4 linked regions of the Cricetulus griseus genome follow. The protein of the gene in region 4 interacts with the protein of the main gene of each other region in a biochemical or structural test. Links are inferred from orthologs where the notes say so. Each region holds a gene or a part of one and is shown on either strand. Other genes may lie near its edges.

Region 1 (3,948 bases), on a different chromosome or scaffold from region 4:
TGGGCCAGAGATGCTGGGGGCACAAAGACAAAAGGAGCCTGGATTTGCCCTTGAGGAGCTCCCAGACAGGCAGTAGAGGTAGACACACAGGATCGAAGGTGGTTGGAGCTTTAGGTTAGAACCGGTGTAGGTTGGCGCCTATAGCCATAGCTCTCAGAGCTGAAGAGCTGTGTGAGTTTGGGAAGGGAGGAAGATGGCTTCAGAGGATGATCTGGGCTCTGCAGAGGCTATCAAAGTACAGGTGTTGAGAAACTTTCCAGGTCAGGGCAAGGAGCTACTTGTTCCAAGATGGCCGTGTGTTGTGCCCAGGTGTGTTCTGGAAAGCCCAGGATCTGTGAGGCTGGGGATAAAGAGTTAAGGTATGAAGATGAGATGAGAGTGGAGGCAGATGGGCTGACTCTTGGCTTATCCCAGGAAGTGTGACTATCTAGGCACATGTTCCTGAATGGGGCTTGAACCGCAGTAACTTAGAGCAGCAGTAATATGTGTGATTTCTGGGATGTCCTGAGTGCTGGGCGCTATGCTGACAGGTGACAGTCTTTATTTTTTCCTTCCCTAGTGACTCCGTAGAGAAACACAGGGTATTTACAGTGCAAGGATATAAGTACAGGCATCTATCCTAACCCAAAGATCTGAAACCCAAAATGTGAAACTCTAAAAAAATTTTCTTTGGATTTACTTATTTATTTATTTGGGTTTTTTGTTTGTTTGTTTTTCCCAAGACAAGGTTGCTCTTTGTAGTCCTGGCTGTCTTGAAACTCACAGAGATCTGTCTGCCTCTGCCTCATGAGTGTTGGGATCAAAGGCATTCGCTAAAACTGCCTAGCAGATTTACTTATCTTTTTGTTTTATGTGTATGGGTGGTTTGTTTGTGTTTTATGTGTATGGGTGGTTTGTTTGCATGTATTGCTGGGTACCATGTGCATGCAGTGTCTGTAGAAGTCAGAAGAGGGTGTTAGATTCCCTGGAACTAGAATTAGCTGTCCTGTGGGGTCTGGGAATTGAACATGGGTTCTCTGGAAGACCATTCAGTCCTCTTAGCCACTGAGTCATCTCTCCAGTTCCGTCAAATCTGAAAGTTTTTGAGCACAGCATGATATCACACAGAAATTCATATCTGGCCCCAGTGGCAGGTCACAAAGTACAGGTAAACCAAAATTACCATCAAATTACCTTAAGTCTACATGTGTAAGGTAAATATGAGACACAGAGATTTTTGTTTAGGTTTTGTTATCCACATAGCTCCTTATGGGGCTGGAGAGAGAGCTCTGTCAGTAAAGTGTTTACAGATCTGAGTTTGGTCCCTGGAACCCAATAGGAAAGCTTCATGTGGTAGTGTGCACACTTGTAATCACAGTGCTGGGGAGGCAAAGACAGAAAGGTTTCTGGGACTTCCTGGCTTGCCATCCTAGCCTGCTTGATGGAAGTTCCAGGCCAGTGAAAGATCCTATCAATAGAAAAAGGGAGCTGGGCAGGTAAAAGTGTTTACTGTCAATGTGTGACTATCCAAGTCTGATCTTTTGTAGAAGAAGAGAACTGACTCCCAGAAGTTGTCCTTGGACACACACACACACACACACACACACACACACACTGGTGTGCACATGTGTGCACTGGGAATGGTGTCTGAGGTTGTTCATTTCACTACACATACTCCTATGCATCGACACACAAATAGAGCTCATTTTTTATGCATGTGCAAATATTTCAAAACTTGGAAAGGTCTAAAATTTGAAACCGGACCCAAGCATTTAGATAAAGGACACCCAGCTTGTAGTATGTGAGAAAGCCTAGCTTGTGACCTCCCAAGCAGCCAAGCAGACTCAGCCCTTGCTTTGTGTGCTGTGTGCTTCAGGGAAGAGAAATGAGGTCTCACTGGTTGGTGAATGACTTTGATTTCTGGCCTGTCCCCTTTGCAGCCCCAGCAGGTGCTTGGCTCGCTCCCCACCTTCTGGCTCCCAGAGCCTTCTGGAAGGGATAATGACAGCCAGTAGCTCAAAGACAACTACTCCAAGGGAATCATCAGCTTCAGGCCTCAGGGTTCTGTTGGAGGAGGAAGGAACCACTGCAGGTGCTGGCCAAAGGGAGCCCGAGGAGTCTAGCAGAGACCCTTTGCCTTCCTCGAGGCCTCAGCCCGATGGTGAAGCCAGCCAGGTAGAAGAGGTGGATGGCACCTGGACTCTTCCAGGGGGAGCTAGGCAAGATGAGCAGGGGTCAGCTCTGCCCCCCCAGCGGCCTCCCAGAGGACCTCTGCCCAGCTGCCCCAGTGAGGACTTCTCCTTCATAGAGGTCAGTGGAGGGTGACTTGCGGTGGTGGATGAGCTTTTGGAGGAGTCAGGATATGTGGATGATGGGGTCAAAGCCCCATTCTCAGCGCTTTTCTGAACAGTCATGGGACACAGGCTGCGGGTGCCTCATGGCAATAAGAAACTGCAGTAGCCATCAGCTCCTCAGTGTTGAGGGGCTCCTGTGGGGTGAAGCAGGGCATGGCTCAGCAATAGTAAATGGTGTTGGTGGTTTTTTTTTTTTGAGCAGGACACTGAGATCCTTGATAGTGCTATGTATCGGAGTCGTGCCAACCTAGGGCGTAAGCGGGGACACCGGGCCCCAGCCATACGGCCTGGGGGTACCCTGGGTCTGTCAGAGACAGCAGACTCGGATACTCGGCTGTTCCAAGATTCAACAGGTATGATCAGTGTATTAATTGAATGGAGTCTGTCAATGTCTGGTTGTGGGTAAGGGTGGTTTCTGGCATATTGTTGAAGTTGTGATACCCTCCCCTTGACATTTGCAGAGCCGAGGACTTCTCGGGTGCCATCTTCAGATGAGGAGGTAGTGGAGGAGCCTCAGAGCCGCCGGACACGGATGTCCTTGGGCACCAAAGGGCTGAAAGTCAACCTCTTTCCTGGCCTGAGCCCATCAGCCTTGAAGGTACAATCTGATCATTCAATATACACAATCAGCCATCTGGCCTGCCAGCCTTGCACCCAGCATTGCTTTCTATCTGTCTGTCCTCCATCTGTTTTGTCCATCTGTCTGTCTGTCCATCCATCTACCCACCCAGCATTTCTGTCTGTCTGTCCATCTCTCTGTCCATCCACCCACCCATCTGTCCATCTATCTGTCATCCATCCGTCCATCCATCTATCCATCTGTCCCTTCTTCCATCTCTTCTTATTGTGCTAAGGAGGATTCTGGAAGGTTCCGTTTGTTCCCTGCTCAACTTTGTTCAGTGTGCCAAGTTTTTTGGAAGAAAAAACAGGATGTTCTTTCATCTCATAGCCTCCACCATATTAGTTAGGGGTTGGGGGTGGGTGGGCATGGTCCATGCCCATGAGTGTCTCTGGTGAAGAGAGATGTGTAGGTATAAATGGGGGGAGTTCAGCCATGGGCTGGGCTGTTTGGTTGAAGAAGTTATTTCCTGACTGTAGCTGGGAATGGGAGGTGGCTTGGGCAGGGTTTCTTGTAAGCCATTTCTCTTAGCCTTGAGGTTGGCACAGGAGTTGGCTCTGGGGTGGGAAGGACATTGCCTGCAGAAAGGATAGACAGGCAAAAGCATAGGTGTGGGAAGTTATCACTCTTTGTTCAGCCTAGTTTATGGAATTTTATTCCTCCAATATCTTTCTGATGTTCAAGGTATGAGGATCAGCTCTGAGGGAGGCAGACCTTTGACTTTCTATTGATAGAGGGGTTCCGGCCTGGTTCTGGGGGCTGCATCCTCTTGGTAAAGGCCTGGCCTGTGTATCTTACTGCCTGTTCATCTTTCATCTGCATCTCCCAGGCTAAGCTGCGCTCCCGGAATCGCTCAGCTGAGGAGGGGGAGGTGACAGAGAGCAAATCAAGCCAGAAGGAGTCCTCCGTCCAGCGTTCTAAGTCCTGCAAGGTCCCAGGGCTAGGGAAGCCCCTCACATTACCCCCCAAGCCAGAAAAATCCTCAGGGTAAGTCAC
Region 2 (3,948 bases), on a different chromosome or scaffold from region 4:
CAAGACTGCCTCGTCCTCCCGTACTTCTTCAAATACCACACCACAGTCAAACTCGTCACTCACTTTCTTAAAGTAGTATCTAGGGGCAGAAAATTGGAGACAGTGAGAAAAGCCAGCTCCAGCAAGGGAATGCCTGCCCTTGAACCCCAGGAATTCCTACCTCCCTGCAATGCAGGCTTGTCCCAGCCAGTGAGCTGGGATCTTGGCTGTTGCCTGTTGGGCAGTGGCCACACTTGGGGTAGAACTGGGACCACTGAAAGGGCTGAGTTAACAGTATGTTGAAAATTGCTATAAAACCCCTGGGAATCCCAATCCTGGCTTCTGGTGGGTATGGAGGTTGCTGATAGCCTTCTGAATCAGGAAGAGCAGAGGTCTTGGGTCCCCAGCTCTGCCATCCACATGGGCTGACACCAGGAGGGCTGACAGGCTCCCATGTCACTCAGGTATCAGTAACCTTACTACTGGAGTTTTTGAGCTGGCTGACAAGGAGTGAGAGAGAGGTCTGCGGCTAGAAAAGAGGGCCAGTCCTGATGCTATCCAACCCTGATGTGCCCCAAATAAGAGCAGAAAGCAGCAGCCATGGCTGAGGGAAGTAGGGTGAAGGGGAAGAGAAAAGAGCAGTGGAACAGAAAACCAAATTGCATGCTGGGCAAGTATGCCCTATGGCTGCAGCTTCTCCTCTCACCTGTAGCTCCCCTTCTTGGTTAGCAGCTCCTTGAACTGGCCCAGCGTGACAGCACGGCCCCTCACCAGGGTCCGGTAGGGGATGGGTTCCCCACAGAAATAGTAGGCCACAACAATGCTGTCACATGGGGGTGCACTCCCGCCACCTGCCTTTCTCTGTGATTTTGTCCTGGGACAGAAACAGAGTGGTAAGTAGTGGGCTCAGGCCAAGGTCACACAGAGTACCTCAAAGGTACCATCTACCAATAGAGGACAAGACATCCCAGGGTCAGCATCTCACTCAGCAATGTGGTGTTCACAGGCCCAGCCACCCACCTACCCAAAATCTGGGTGCCAGTCCTGTGTAAACCACTCACTAGAAAATAAGCTAGAGGTCTAGCTCTAAAAGAAGCACTTCACCATCCAGACCACGTAAAGTGGACACAGATACCCACAATAACCAGACCAGGCCTTCGGCTCACAAAGTCCTATCTCCAAAGTTGTAAGGGGGCTGGTCTCAAAACACTGACAAGTCCCAACCTCTCCAAACTTCCATAAGTCTTGAGGAGGGACCAATCAGAGCTGCACAGATCTGGAAAGGAAGTGTCCCTAGGACCAGGATTTCCAAAGCAGATTGGAGGCCTGAGCTGTTTCTTACTCAGGTCCTCAAAGGGCTGTGTAGCTGCTCTGAGTCTGCTCCTGTATTCCTGTACTTTTTAATCACTCCAGAAGCTTCCATAGCTGGCCTCAACCATGGCCACATGGCTGCTTTTTCTTGGCCAAGTAAAATACACGGGGCATTCTGGATGTGTAATTTTCCAGGTTTTCAGACCTTCTTCCAGCAATGGGCTTTTGAAGCTTTCTGGCGGTTAAACCTGGGGAGACCTACTTCTCCAGAACAACTGGAGGGCCATCTGCAGAGGCCCCAAGGCCCAAGGGGGATCCTCATCTTCCTGTCTTGAGTAAGAGCAGGAAGGGCATAGTCAGAAATGCCCCTGACCTAAATGTGGCTATGGCAGGCGGAGGTGCAGAGCCTAAGTCCTGGCTGTAGTCACACCATCCAGATGCTACTATAAAGTTGCCGCAAGTTCCTAGTGCTATTTCAAGGGGACTAGAAATGTGGACCTGATCCTGTGTAGAATGGTAGTGGACCCACCAGTCCCCAGAGCTAGCTCAGAAGCTCAGGAGAATAAAGATGAGATGAAAGGCAAGCTGTGATGCCTGCATGAACCACTTATAGGCCTACTGATCATGTCTACACTGAACAGGCATGATCTCCTCTATTGGGAGACATGAGAGAGAAGCCACAGCAGGCCTTTCTCCAGCCCTGATGCTTCCTAGCTCAGTGACAAAGCCTATCAAATAGGTGCTCCACTTTGGGATTTGGCCTGGGCTGGGCAGAACCAGGAGGACCCACAGGGCGCACGTACTCTGTCTCGGAGAGTTCCAAGTCCGACACGGCTGGTACCACACTCAGCACCGGTGCACATGCTGGCCTGACACAGGTGCGTCCCCGCTGCATGACTGCCTGCACATACCTAGGGAACAACCCGCATCAAAGAAGATGGGGCTCAGCCAGTGTTGTGGACAGTGTGCCCAGATAGGGTGAGCAGCAGGAACTAGCTGCCAACAACTCCCACTCACATATCATCAGAGGCCCTGCCCTAAGTGTCTAGACACAGGGTCAATGCCAGTCTGCTCTTTGGAATACACCCTGGAGAACGGCTGGTCTTGGTGCTACAGGCTCTCTTCACCTCCTGCTCAGATGACTTCTCCAGCTAGAGGTTCTTGGAGAAGGCCTTCCAAGACACCTCCCAGGAATGTGGCTCTTTCTACACAGATTCATCATGACCTCCTGAAGATGATGTGGATACTAGACATGGACAGAAGCAGTGACACTGTTTCTTGGGGAGCTGCTGCCAGCATGACAGAGCCTTTCCAAGAGAACCCTCTACCTGGGTATGCCACTATTGTCCCTAATAGTGACTTTATCTGATATAGTTTAACAGGGCCTGCCAAGGCCTGGGCCTTTCACTGCATACATCTAGACTTGCTTATAAAGTTCCAGACAAATAGACTCAATACATTCAATTTCTTCACACATGAAGATTTTGGAGGCACCAGCTAAGACGTGGTGTGTGTGTGTGTGTGTGTGGGGGCACCAGCTAAGACGTGGTGTGTGTGTGTGTGTGTGTGTTGATGGTATGGGGTGTATGTGTGTGGTGATGGTATTCTCATACCCCAAAACACAAACAAGAAGGGTTTAGCTGATGCTACAGGCCAGGAGAAAACCACAGCTGTTGCCATATGGGGTTTGCCAGGTAATGGTAGGATGAACAGATGCAACCTCTGCATCACAAGAGAATCCTAACTCCCAAAATACCCTACTCCACAAAATAATCCTGCATCCTAGGAACACTGGCTTCTGAGCACACCCTGCCCAGGCCTCTGAGGGCATCATTCCTAGAAGATCCCACATGACACCCTACTCCACTGACTCAGACCCTTGCCAGATACATGCAATGTGTCAGCACCAGAAGGAACACTTCCTGCACAGAACAGGTAGCACAAGTGTATACCATAGCTTACAACAGGTGGCAAAGTGGTCCCTTGTATTTAAGGCAGCTGTGACTTCTTTTGGAGCTCAGAGCCTGGTGTGGGTCCAGGAGACTTTAAGTGACCAGGAAGATGTCTAAGCTCCTGGGGCAATTACAGCCTGACTCTATTAGAGACCATAAGTGCAGAGTCTGCCAGTCAAGAGTTGTAGCATCCCAGGGAAAGAGGACTCTTAGAAGTGAGGTCAGACCCCAGAATGTACACAACCCAAGCTGAATAAAGGAGGTGATAGTTTCAAAGGGCAATAATGGCCTTTGTGTGACCATGGTTCCAGGGACTGGGTAAGAAACAGATCCTAAGCCCTCATGGAGACTATTACCCACTTGGGAATTCCAATAAGCCAGAATGTCCAGGCAAGTGATTCAAAGCCAAAATAAAAGGGTCAGAGAAGGCCTTTTCTGCCTCCAAGAATACTGCTTCCTAAAGAGAGGTCTTTTGAGTTTGGGCAAGGACAGAATAAGCTTGCTGAACTGTGGTGGTGAAGGAGCTGATGTTGATGTTCTTGAGGTTGAGAAGACAGGGAGAGTGGTTGGAGTTGTGGTCACTCCTATAACTGCCTGTGCTTCAGAGTTGTCTATCATCTCCCTGTGGCTGTGCTTTATATGGCTGTCATCAGAAATGGCCAGGATATCTACCAATAGGCCGGGCATGCCCAAAAGCTGTTGGCCA
Region 3 (4,422 bases), on a different chromosome or scaffold from region 4:
GGTTATTTGGTCCTTAGCAATTGTGGAGTAAAAAGTAGTAGACTGTATTTATAAAGAGGATTACAGATTAGTAATGAACTTAGATCTTTATCAATTAACCCAGTTAATTTTTAAAAACTTTAAAAATAAAGCCACATTTTATTACTTAAAAAGTGTAACTACTAAAGAAATTCAAACTGCAATTACTTGGATACACTGTTAATTCCTGATGTAAAGATTTAGGATTAATAGCAATTCCATTTATCAAGTCATTTACACTTTTTAAAAGTCCACTGTCCCTAGATAACCGACTTGAATAAAATATTGACCTTTAAAAAATAAAAGAAAAACAAGAATATATAAAACATAATTAAAAACATAAATATCAAATTATATATGCTTGAACACTTTCTGTTTTCCCTATTTAAAGAATTAAAGAAACAGTTTACTCTTTATTCAAAATACACAAAACAGGATATATTGTATAAAAAAGGTGTCAATGATGGGGTACTACTTCAAACCTCCCTCTGTATACAAGTTTACCTACATGTGTATCTATTATAAACACAGGAAAAGAGAGCAGAGGTCAGGTGGGATTTAACACACACATCTTGAAATTTCTTAAAAAAGATTCCCAAATTCACAGGCATGTAACTTTTGTACTTCATCACATCAGCTTTCAAAAAAAGGGCTAAGTCGAATTGGAAACAAGTGTTCTGTCAAAACTCAATTTCAGTTAAATGTAAACAATATCATCCTATGACTACCGACTGCCTTCACAGTCTTCATATTTAGGTGTAAATCTTCAAATTTCTTCCCTTCGAAGTGGGTTTTGCATTTACTTCAATAACTCAGGAAATATGAATGTCAACAGACACTTTAATCTCATCAATCAGGTTTCATGGCCAGCAACCATTATGTAAATAACAAAGTCCTCTTATTAATTAAGATGTGAGACCTTGGTCAAGTCATCACTACGTATTTGTTGCTTCACCCTCTCCTCTGTGATTCTACAATTTTAAATGTTTTAATTAAGAGGCCTTTAACAACAGGCTTTGTATTAATTAACTAAGGTGAATGAGAGAGTACAAATTAGCAAAGGAGGCTGTACACCAGTGTAGACATAGTGTCTATCCTCAGAAAGACTGTTTCTAATCCGGCCAACAGTTCCACAAATTCCCTCTGTTATCAAGAACCCAACTGGGCAAGAGGACAGAAAAAAGACTCAGTACCTTCTACCTCTAATTCTTGCAGGAAAATATTTGTAAGAATCAGTAACAACTGGTTAAATCCGTCAAGCACATATATGGCTAACAGAAAATGTGTCGTAAACAGATGAATATGAAAAAGTTCTTCCTATTATGTTTTTTCAGGTCAAGGAATTATCTTGAATCCTTTAAAAACAAAAAAGAAAACAATGCAAAAGTGACTCTTATCACTTGACGAGTCTCCCAAAAGAATTTTTTTTTTTTTTTTTTGCATTCCTCTTATCTAATGACCAGCTATTTGGGATGTTTTCCCATGATTACAACTCTACTCAGTTCTTCACCAGCAAAACAGAAATCTTCAAACATTTAAGCACAAGGGTTTTCATTCTGCCCACATTACATAGGCCCATTTGAGACATAAACCCAAGTGTTCCACTGTATCATATCCAAGACCCAAACACATCCCAAACTCCTTTAGTGTGGCAGTCACTCTCGAGTTTTCTCTTTAAAAATGAGATTTAAGTGACCTATTTTCATGTGTTTTCACAGCACCCAGGAGCTTTGCTGCTAGTTTGTATGGGTCATTTCCTTCATTTGTTTTCAATATGCCATGTCCTTTAAAAAGTCTAATATAGGTCATTTACTGAAATGTTCTACATGCTCAAATTCGATGACAATATACAACTTTCAATAGCCAAGTTCCAGGTGCACATCCCGTTTACAAAACAAGGAAGGCAGACACACACACACACACACACACACACACACAAACACACGGCGGGAGGGGGTGAACACACCCTAGCACCTGAAATGTCAATCAATGAACAAAGCCTTTTCTATCTCCTTTGACTTTCTTCTTCCCTAAGTTCTTGTCAAGTATTTCGGTACTGTTAAAAAACAAACAAACAACAAAAACAAAACAAAAACCCCAAAATGTTGAAAACTTGAGAAGTGCTTAAACAGCACCCGGAGAAAAGACAAAATATAGCTGTCAGAATGCGTGTGCTAACTCACAGTCCGGAATCTCTTACCTAAGTAGAGGACGATTCCATTTCCATATCCTCAAAAACAACGTAACCATGCCTTTCTCTCTTAAAAGAAAAAAAAAAAAAAAAGAAGAAGAAAAAAATAATAATAAAAACAACACCGCTCAGGAAAATAAGACAGCCAGAACAATGAGGATCCCGTGCACTCCTAGATGGGGTGGAGGGCAAGGGAGAGAACTCCACACCCAGCAACCAGAACAAAGCGACAAACGAAACGGGGATCTTCGGATGCACCCGGGTAGGGAGGCCCCGACGCGTATTCCGACACCTCGGGGTGGTTTCAGGTTTTGGGAGCCATCAAAACAAGAACACTCGGCGGCTTCCGCCAGCGCGAGGAGGAGGGACGGCTCCGGGCGCTGGGCAGGCTAGCAGCACAGCACAGCACAGCACAGCACAGCAGCAGCAGCAGCAGCAGCACCGCAGACGGCAGACAGAATGCAGCCCGTGGCTGCCCGCAGCCCGGCCGAGCCCCGCGGCGCTGCCCGCAGCCCGGCCTGCGTAGTAATGGCCGGGGCCGCGCCCGTCACGCTCCGGGCTGCGCCAGCTCGCCTCCCTCCGCGCGCCCGTCCGGGCCGCGCTGGCCAAGGGCGTCCCTGTCCTACCGGCCCCGACCCGCCGCCGCTCGCCGCCACTCCAGGCGCCGCCCCGCAGCCAGCGCGGTCGCAGCGCCACCCGCCGAGGCCCCGCAGCCCTCGGACACACGCGCTCCCCACCGGTCCCGCCGGTGCCCACCTCTCGGCCGCCGCCGCAGCCACCTCGCAGCCTCTTCTCCTCCGCTTCGGAGCCCGCAGCGGACGGGGACGCGCGCGGCCGCCACGTGACGCCCGGCGCTCGAGGGGGCGGGGCCGCGCCGACGGAAGCCACGCCCCCACGGCGAGCGCGCGCGCGGCGCCGGAGGCTGGCGGGCGGGCGGTGCACGCTCTGCCTGCAGACCTCTCTTGCCCTTCCCCGCGGCGGGGCGGCTCTCTGGCCGCGATCCCTCCCATGCTCTTTGTGCACCTTATCACCACCTGGCTCTGACACTGTGGGGTGCCACCAGAGAGCACTGAGCGAGGGAGCTAGACATCCGGGACCAGGAAGAGGAGCTCTCCTGAAATCCAGCCTTCTGACCCCAAGAAGCCCTTGGGCCAAGCCCTAAGTTTCCAATTGAAGTGTCCTTAACTGCTTGTTCCTTATCAAGAAGACATCTGCAAAGACTCGGCGTGGACTGGATGGTCCCCTGGAATGCTCCAGTTTATTCACTCACAAATGGCTAGGAAATTTAATGGGGGAGGGGACGTGTTGGGGGTCTCAACAAGTCTTTTGTACCCTAACAGCCTAGGAAGCTAGAAGAGGAAATCAATCGACTTAAGAATCTAGAGTAAGTTTTGCCGATTCATTTGATGGCAAGCATACAGTTTTAAACATCAAAATCTAGTCGTTCGTTTTTACCCACACATGGTCTTTTACAGAGCTGAGTGAGTTTTCTCAAGTTGTAGTTAAACTAGGTGGATTAGCGGGGCCTCGTCACCTTTGAAAGTATTTCCGCCTCCTGTAACTGTTGCATTGTGCTTGCAACAATGTTGCATTTTGAGGTTTATTAACTGTCTCAATGCCAGGACTGTAAATGTTTCGGGTGCTTATATGATAGCTACAAAGCACAGCCTCTGCTCTTAAGGGAAAGGAGGAAGAATTCATGTGGAGACAGCCATGAGTAACTGAATCCCGAGCATGGATTCGGGCTACTCAGTCTGTTGTTCTAGGAAATATTATTACATGAACTTTGTATAGCCACAAAAAGGGAAGATTATACGTCAATGTATTATCAAATATTTTGGTAGGGGTAGTCCATCGGGTAGCTGGGCGACTGTGACAGAGCATATTGTTTAGGTTTCGGTGCTATAACGTTGGTTTTATAATTGAAAACGAACTAGGTATCTAGTGGTAGGGTGTTTGCCTATCATGCTTGAGCATCTGGATCCAATCCCCAGTACCACACTGGGTACGGGGAATAAAAAAGGAAGCTACTGGCCAGCTAGGTTTCAACGTTGTATTCCAGTCAGAAAGATGTTAATTCAGATGATACAGGGATTAAGAGTAAATGGCGACTATGTGGGGGCGGAACAAATATTTGGCTCTTGTTTGCAGCATTTTCCTATACCACTATTACAAAGTTTAGTCAGCCAATCAGTTCACAGCATCTTCCATAT
Region 4 (3,948 bases):
TGGCAGGTCTTTCTCAGTAGATGAAATGGAGGTCATTTCATTAAAGAAGGTTTGGGGGAGAGTTGGCTTAATTTGCATGGCTTATCTAATATAGTATCAATATTAGAAAAAAATGACCTAAGGAACCTTTTCACTCATGGTGCTGTTTGTGATATGGTTATTATTGCTACCATCATAGCTAATGATACTGTTAAATCATACTTAATAAATATCACATACACACTTATGTCATACAAGACATCTATCTGTGTGGGTTTCCCATCTTTTTTGTTTTGTTTTGTTTTGGTTTTGGTTTTTCAAGACAGGGTTTCTCTGTGGCTTTGGAGGCTGTCCTGGAACTAGCTCTTGTAGACCAGGCTGGTCTCGAACTCAGAGATTGCCTGCCTCTGCCTCCCGAGTGCTGGGATTAAAGGCATGCACCACCACCACCACCCGGCTGGTTTCCCATCTTAACCAGAGAAAAATTGTTCTTGTTAAACATAAGTATAATTTATATTTTTATTTGATAAAATAATACCATAAGTATATATGACAAATATTACCACTAGTTAGTTTAAAAAGCAAATCACTGATACATCATTATTAATTCATTATCTAACTTGAATATTGGGGTTTGTTTGTTTAAGATAAAGTCTCACTCTCTAGCCCTAGCTGGCCTAGAACTCATTGAGATCTGCCTGCCTCTGCCCCCCAAATGCTGGAATTAAAGGTGTGTGCCACCATACCTAATTTGTTCCTTAATTTCCACAGTAGGTCAGCAACTATCTATATTGGGGATATAATAAAAATTTTTGGCCTATGGGTATAGGTAATTTTAAATCAAGGTAGTTTTATAAAGCACATTTATATATCCTGAAATACATTTTTTTTTTTCTTTTTGATTTTTTGAGACAGGGTTTTTCTGTGGCTTTAGAGGCTGTCCTGGAACTAGCTCTTGTAGTCCAGGCTGATCTCGAACTCACAGAGATCCACCTGCCTCTGCCTCCCGAGTGCTGGGATTAAAGGTGTGCGCCACCACCGCCCAGCCCCTGAAATACATTTTTAAAACTGTGAGTTTTTTTTTTTTTTTAACTGATGCCATTTAGACTTCAGGTGTTTTGTTTTGTTTTTTCCTACCTGTGTGTGTTCCATTTTTGCTTTCTCATAATGCTGCCTAAATATTTTTATGCAATTTGAGTTGGGGCTATTATTCAGTGGTGGGGTACTTGCCTACCAAGTGTGAGGTCCTAGTTTTATCACTAAAACTGTGTGAGTGTGTGTGTGTGTGTGTGTGTGTGTGTGTGTGTGTGTGTGTGTGTGTGTGTGTGTGTGTTACAATTGAGTCTGGCTGAAATTAACATTACAAAAAATAAAAATAAAAGAGATTTTCAAAGATAACAAAGTCTCAGGAAAAGTTTGTCACAAAAGAACAAAAGATACTCAGTGTCCTCCCAGCATCACTATCGCCTCTTGACCGTGAGGCTTTAGTAGTTAGCAAGATTTTAAATCATTTTTCTAAGTGGCTACGAAATAAAGTGGAATTTAGTTTCCTGTTTTCAAAGTGCATGTAGAATAGATTTCTTTCCTGATAAGTGAAGGTATAGATAGCAAATTAAGTAATGTATATGGTACCTACCCACTTGCAAACACACAGGCACCATTTGGTTTTTGTCTTATAGCATGGAGCAGATCCAACTAAGAAGAACAGAGATGGAAATACACCCCTAGATCTTGTCAAAGAAGGAGACACAGATATTCAGGACTTACTGAGGGGGGATGCTGCCCTGTTGGATGCTGCCAAGAAGGGCTGCCTGGCCAGAGTGCAGAAGCTTTGTACTCCAGAGAATATCAACTGCAGAGACACCCAGGGCAGAAACTCAACTCCTCTACACCTGGCAGGTAAGCATCACTGTGCATCATCTAATTGTCCTTTTTAATGTTCAGTTAAACACTGCTAAACTGTTTGCTAGGTGCTTAACCACTTGGCTTGCAAGGTGAAAGAGGATTGGTGATATAGCCCAGCAAGTAAAGTTGCATGCCACCAAGCTTCACACCTCAAGTTCAATTCCCTGATTTCACGTGATCTACTGAGAATCAACTGCAGATTGTCCTAAGACCTCCAAACTCATGCTTGATGTCTGCAATGCCTGTGAAAGAGATTGGTATATGTTGTACCCTTTAGTAAAGACTCAATTATATGAAGATAGTATTAGCCTTAAAGAAAAAAATTAAAATCTTAAATTTTTCTGGTCTTTATTTGTATGTGTGTGTGAACTGTATTTATTTCTCTGGACCTGACATGTCCCTTTTTACTCTAATAGCAGGCTACAATAACCTGGAAGTAGCTGAATACCTTCTAGAGCATGGAGCTGATGTTAATGCCCAGGACAAAGGAGGCTTAATCCCACTTCACAATGCAGCATCTTATGGGGTGAGCATGTTTCAGTGAACATCTAGAAGCCTTCCCTGGCATTTAATAATTTACTAAATATGTACTACATGGTAAGGAGCAGGTTTCTAACCAGCAGCATAGTTGAGTGCATTTTAACCATCTATGTAAGGTTTGTCGCACCTCCCCATGTAACTTCTTTTTTGATGAACACCCATACTTTTGAAAGTTCTCTGTCTCTTTGCATATTACCTGACACAGTAATTAGTATGGAATGGATCATAAATAAATCTTACCTCTACCCCAGATAGATTTTAGAAATTTTGGTAATTGCTTACATTTATCTCTAGAATCCTAAAAGTGTCAAGCCAAGTAGTTAAGCAATTTGCACACAGTTTAATAGTGTTCAACTGAGGGAGTGAATGTGCAAAGCCATCTTTCCCGTCATGTAACTATATTCACCAGGAAGAGGACGGCACTACAGTGCCTTGATGCCATTGTCAGAACTAGCAGTGACCAAGATGCTCAGGCCTGATGCTTCTCAGTAGAAATAAGTCAGACATGAACAATGTTTCCATGCTTGTCTGCTGTCACACATCTCCCTCTTGGCTATGAAATTCCCAGATAGCAGTTCATGTATACCACGTTCTTAGATGATGTAGTGGCTCCCACTGTTCATTTTCATACAGACCTACTCTCTAGGTATCCACAGCCCTGCTTTCCTTTTCCTACTTGTTTTTTTGTTGTTACACTGCATTATCAAATCCTGGGGTTGAGCTCAGTCTGCTCTTTGCTTTGCATCTGCATTTTTTAAAAAGCTACCTCAATTTTCTCAAATGGAAAAACAAATACATGTTTTAAAATCTTAAAGAAAAGTTACAAGTTTCATGAGAATTTTTGTTTATGATAATGTACCTTATTCAATTTAGTATCCTTTATATTATGTTAGGTATTATTTCTTAATTTGTACATACAAAGGGCAGTTAATTTCTGTGCTATTAATAAATTAAAAGTATTGGTATTTATTCCTTACCCAAATCATGTGATTTTATGAGTAAATCATTTGGCTGATTGGTTTTTTTTCTCCACTTTCTCATTTTGCAGTGATTATATTTGAAAGTTTCATGCCATCATTGTTGTAGAGACAACATAAAGTTAAATGGCGTTAGCTGTAGCCCCTATTTTTCTTCTGTTTCCCGTCTTTTAAAATTGAGTCCCCTTGTCTTTATGCTGTGTTTGTCACTCGCAGCATTTTATGATGCATATGGAATGCTGAAGCCTCATCCAGCTGCCTTTCTACAGGACACTTTGAGGCAGAGTCAGCCCCTTGTCTCGGCTTCTCACTTAGTCCTTTGCTGTTACAGGAGACCAGAACAACGGTGCAGCTTCCTTGTGCATTTAGCCCTCATTTTCAGTTGCTGTTGTTTGTCCTAGTTCCTACCTAAAAAGAATTGAAAACCTAAGAATTGTGTTTCAACTCTACTTGGGTAATACTCCTTCCTCTTCATTGGTCTTTTAGACATTTGCCAGCCAATTTAGCAAGCATGTAACTGGTTTCACTAAACACACACTGTAAATTC

The links.
Region 1: the proteins of Tnks (region 4) and Tnks1bp1 form a complex in vitro, tested with the Homo sapiens proteins (2 studies listed by BioGRID). The link is inferred for Cricetulus griseus from reciprocal best matches to the Homo sapiens genes TNKS and TNKS1BP1.
Region 2: the proteins of Tnks (region 4) and Axin1 form a complex in vitro, tested with the Homo sapiens proteins (2 studies listed by BioGRID). The link is inferred for Cricetulus griseus from reciprocal best matches to the Homo sapiens genes TNKS and AXIN1.
Region 3: the proteins of Tnks (region 4) and Rnf146 form a complex in vitro, tested with the Homo sapiens proteins (3 studies listed by BioGRID and IntAct, with this or other methods). The link is inferred for Cricetulus griseus from reciprocal best matches to the Homo sapiens genes TNKS and RNF146.

What each region holds. Positions count from the first base shown.
Region 1 is NC_048599.1:90,465,355-90,469,302, reverse strand, and holds part of Tnks1bp1 (182 kDa tankyrase-1-binding protein), read left to right. Parts: intron 1-1,919; coding exon 1,920-2,289; intron 2,290-2,535; coding exon 2,536-2,686; intron 2,687-2,794; coding exon 2,795-2,931; intron 2,932-3,781; coding exon 3,782-3,939; intron 3,940-3,948.
Region 2 is NC_048600.1:45,818,348-45,822,295, reverse strand, and holds part of Axin1 (axin-1), read right to left. Parts: intron 2,202-3,948; coding exon 2,094-2,201; intron 854-2,093; coding exon 686-853; intron 80-685; coding exon 1-79. UniProt on the Homo sapiens protein: Component of the beta-catenin destruction complex required for regulating CTNNB1 levels through phosphorylation and ubiquitination, and modulating Wnt-signaling.
Region 3 is NC_048595.1:247,899,767-247,904,188, forward strand, and holds the start of Rnf146 (E3 ubiquitin-protein ligase RNF146), read right to left. Parts: upstream 3,075-4,422; 5' UTR 2,966-3,074; intron 2,279-2,965; exon of another isoform or gene 2,219-2,278; intron 1-2,218. UniProt on the Homo sapiens protein: E3 ubiquitin-protein ligase that specifically binds poly-ADP-ribosylated (PARsylated) proteins and mediates their ubiquitination and subsequent degradation. May regulate many important biological processes, such as cell survival and DNA damage response.
Region 4 is NW_023276807.1:50,048,146-50,052,093, forward strand, and holds part of Tnks (poly [ADP-ribose] polymerase tankyrase-1), read left to right. Parts: intron 1-1,658; coding exon 1,659-1,878; intron 1,879-2,300; coding exon 2,301-2,410; intron 2,411-3,948.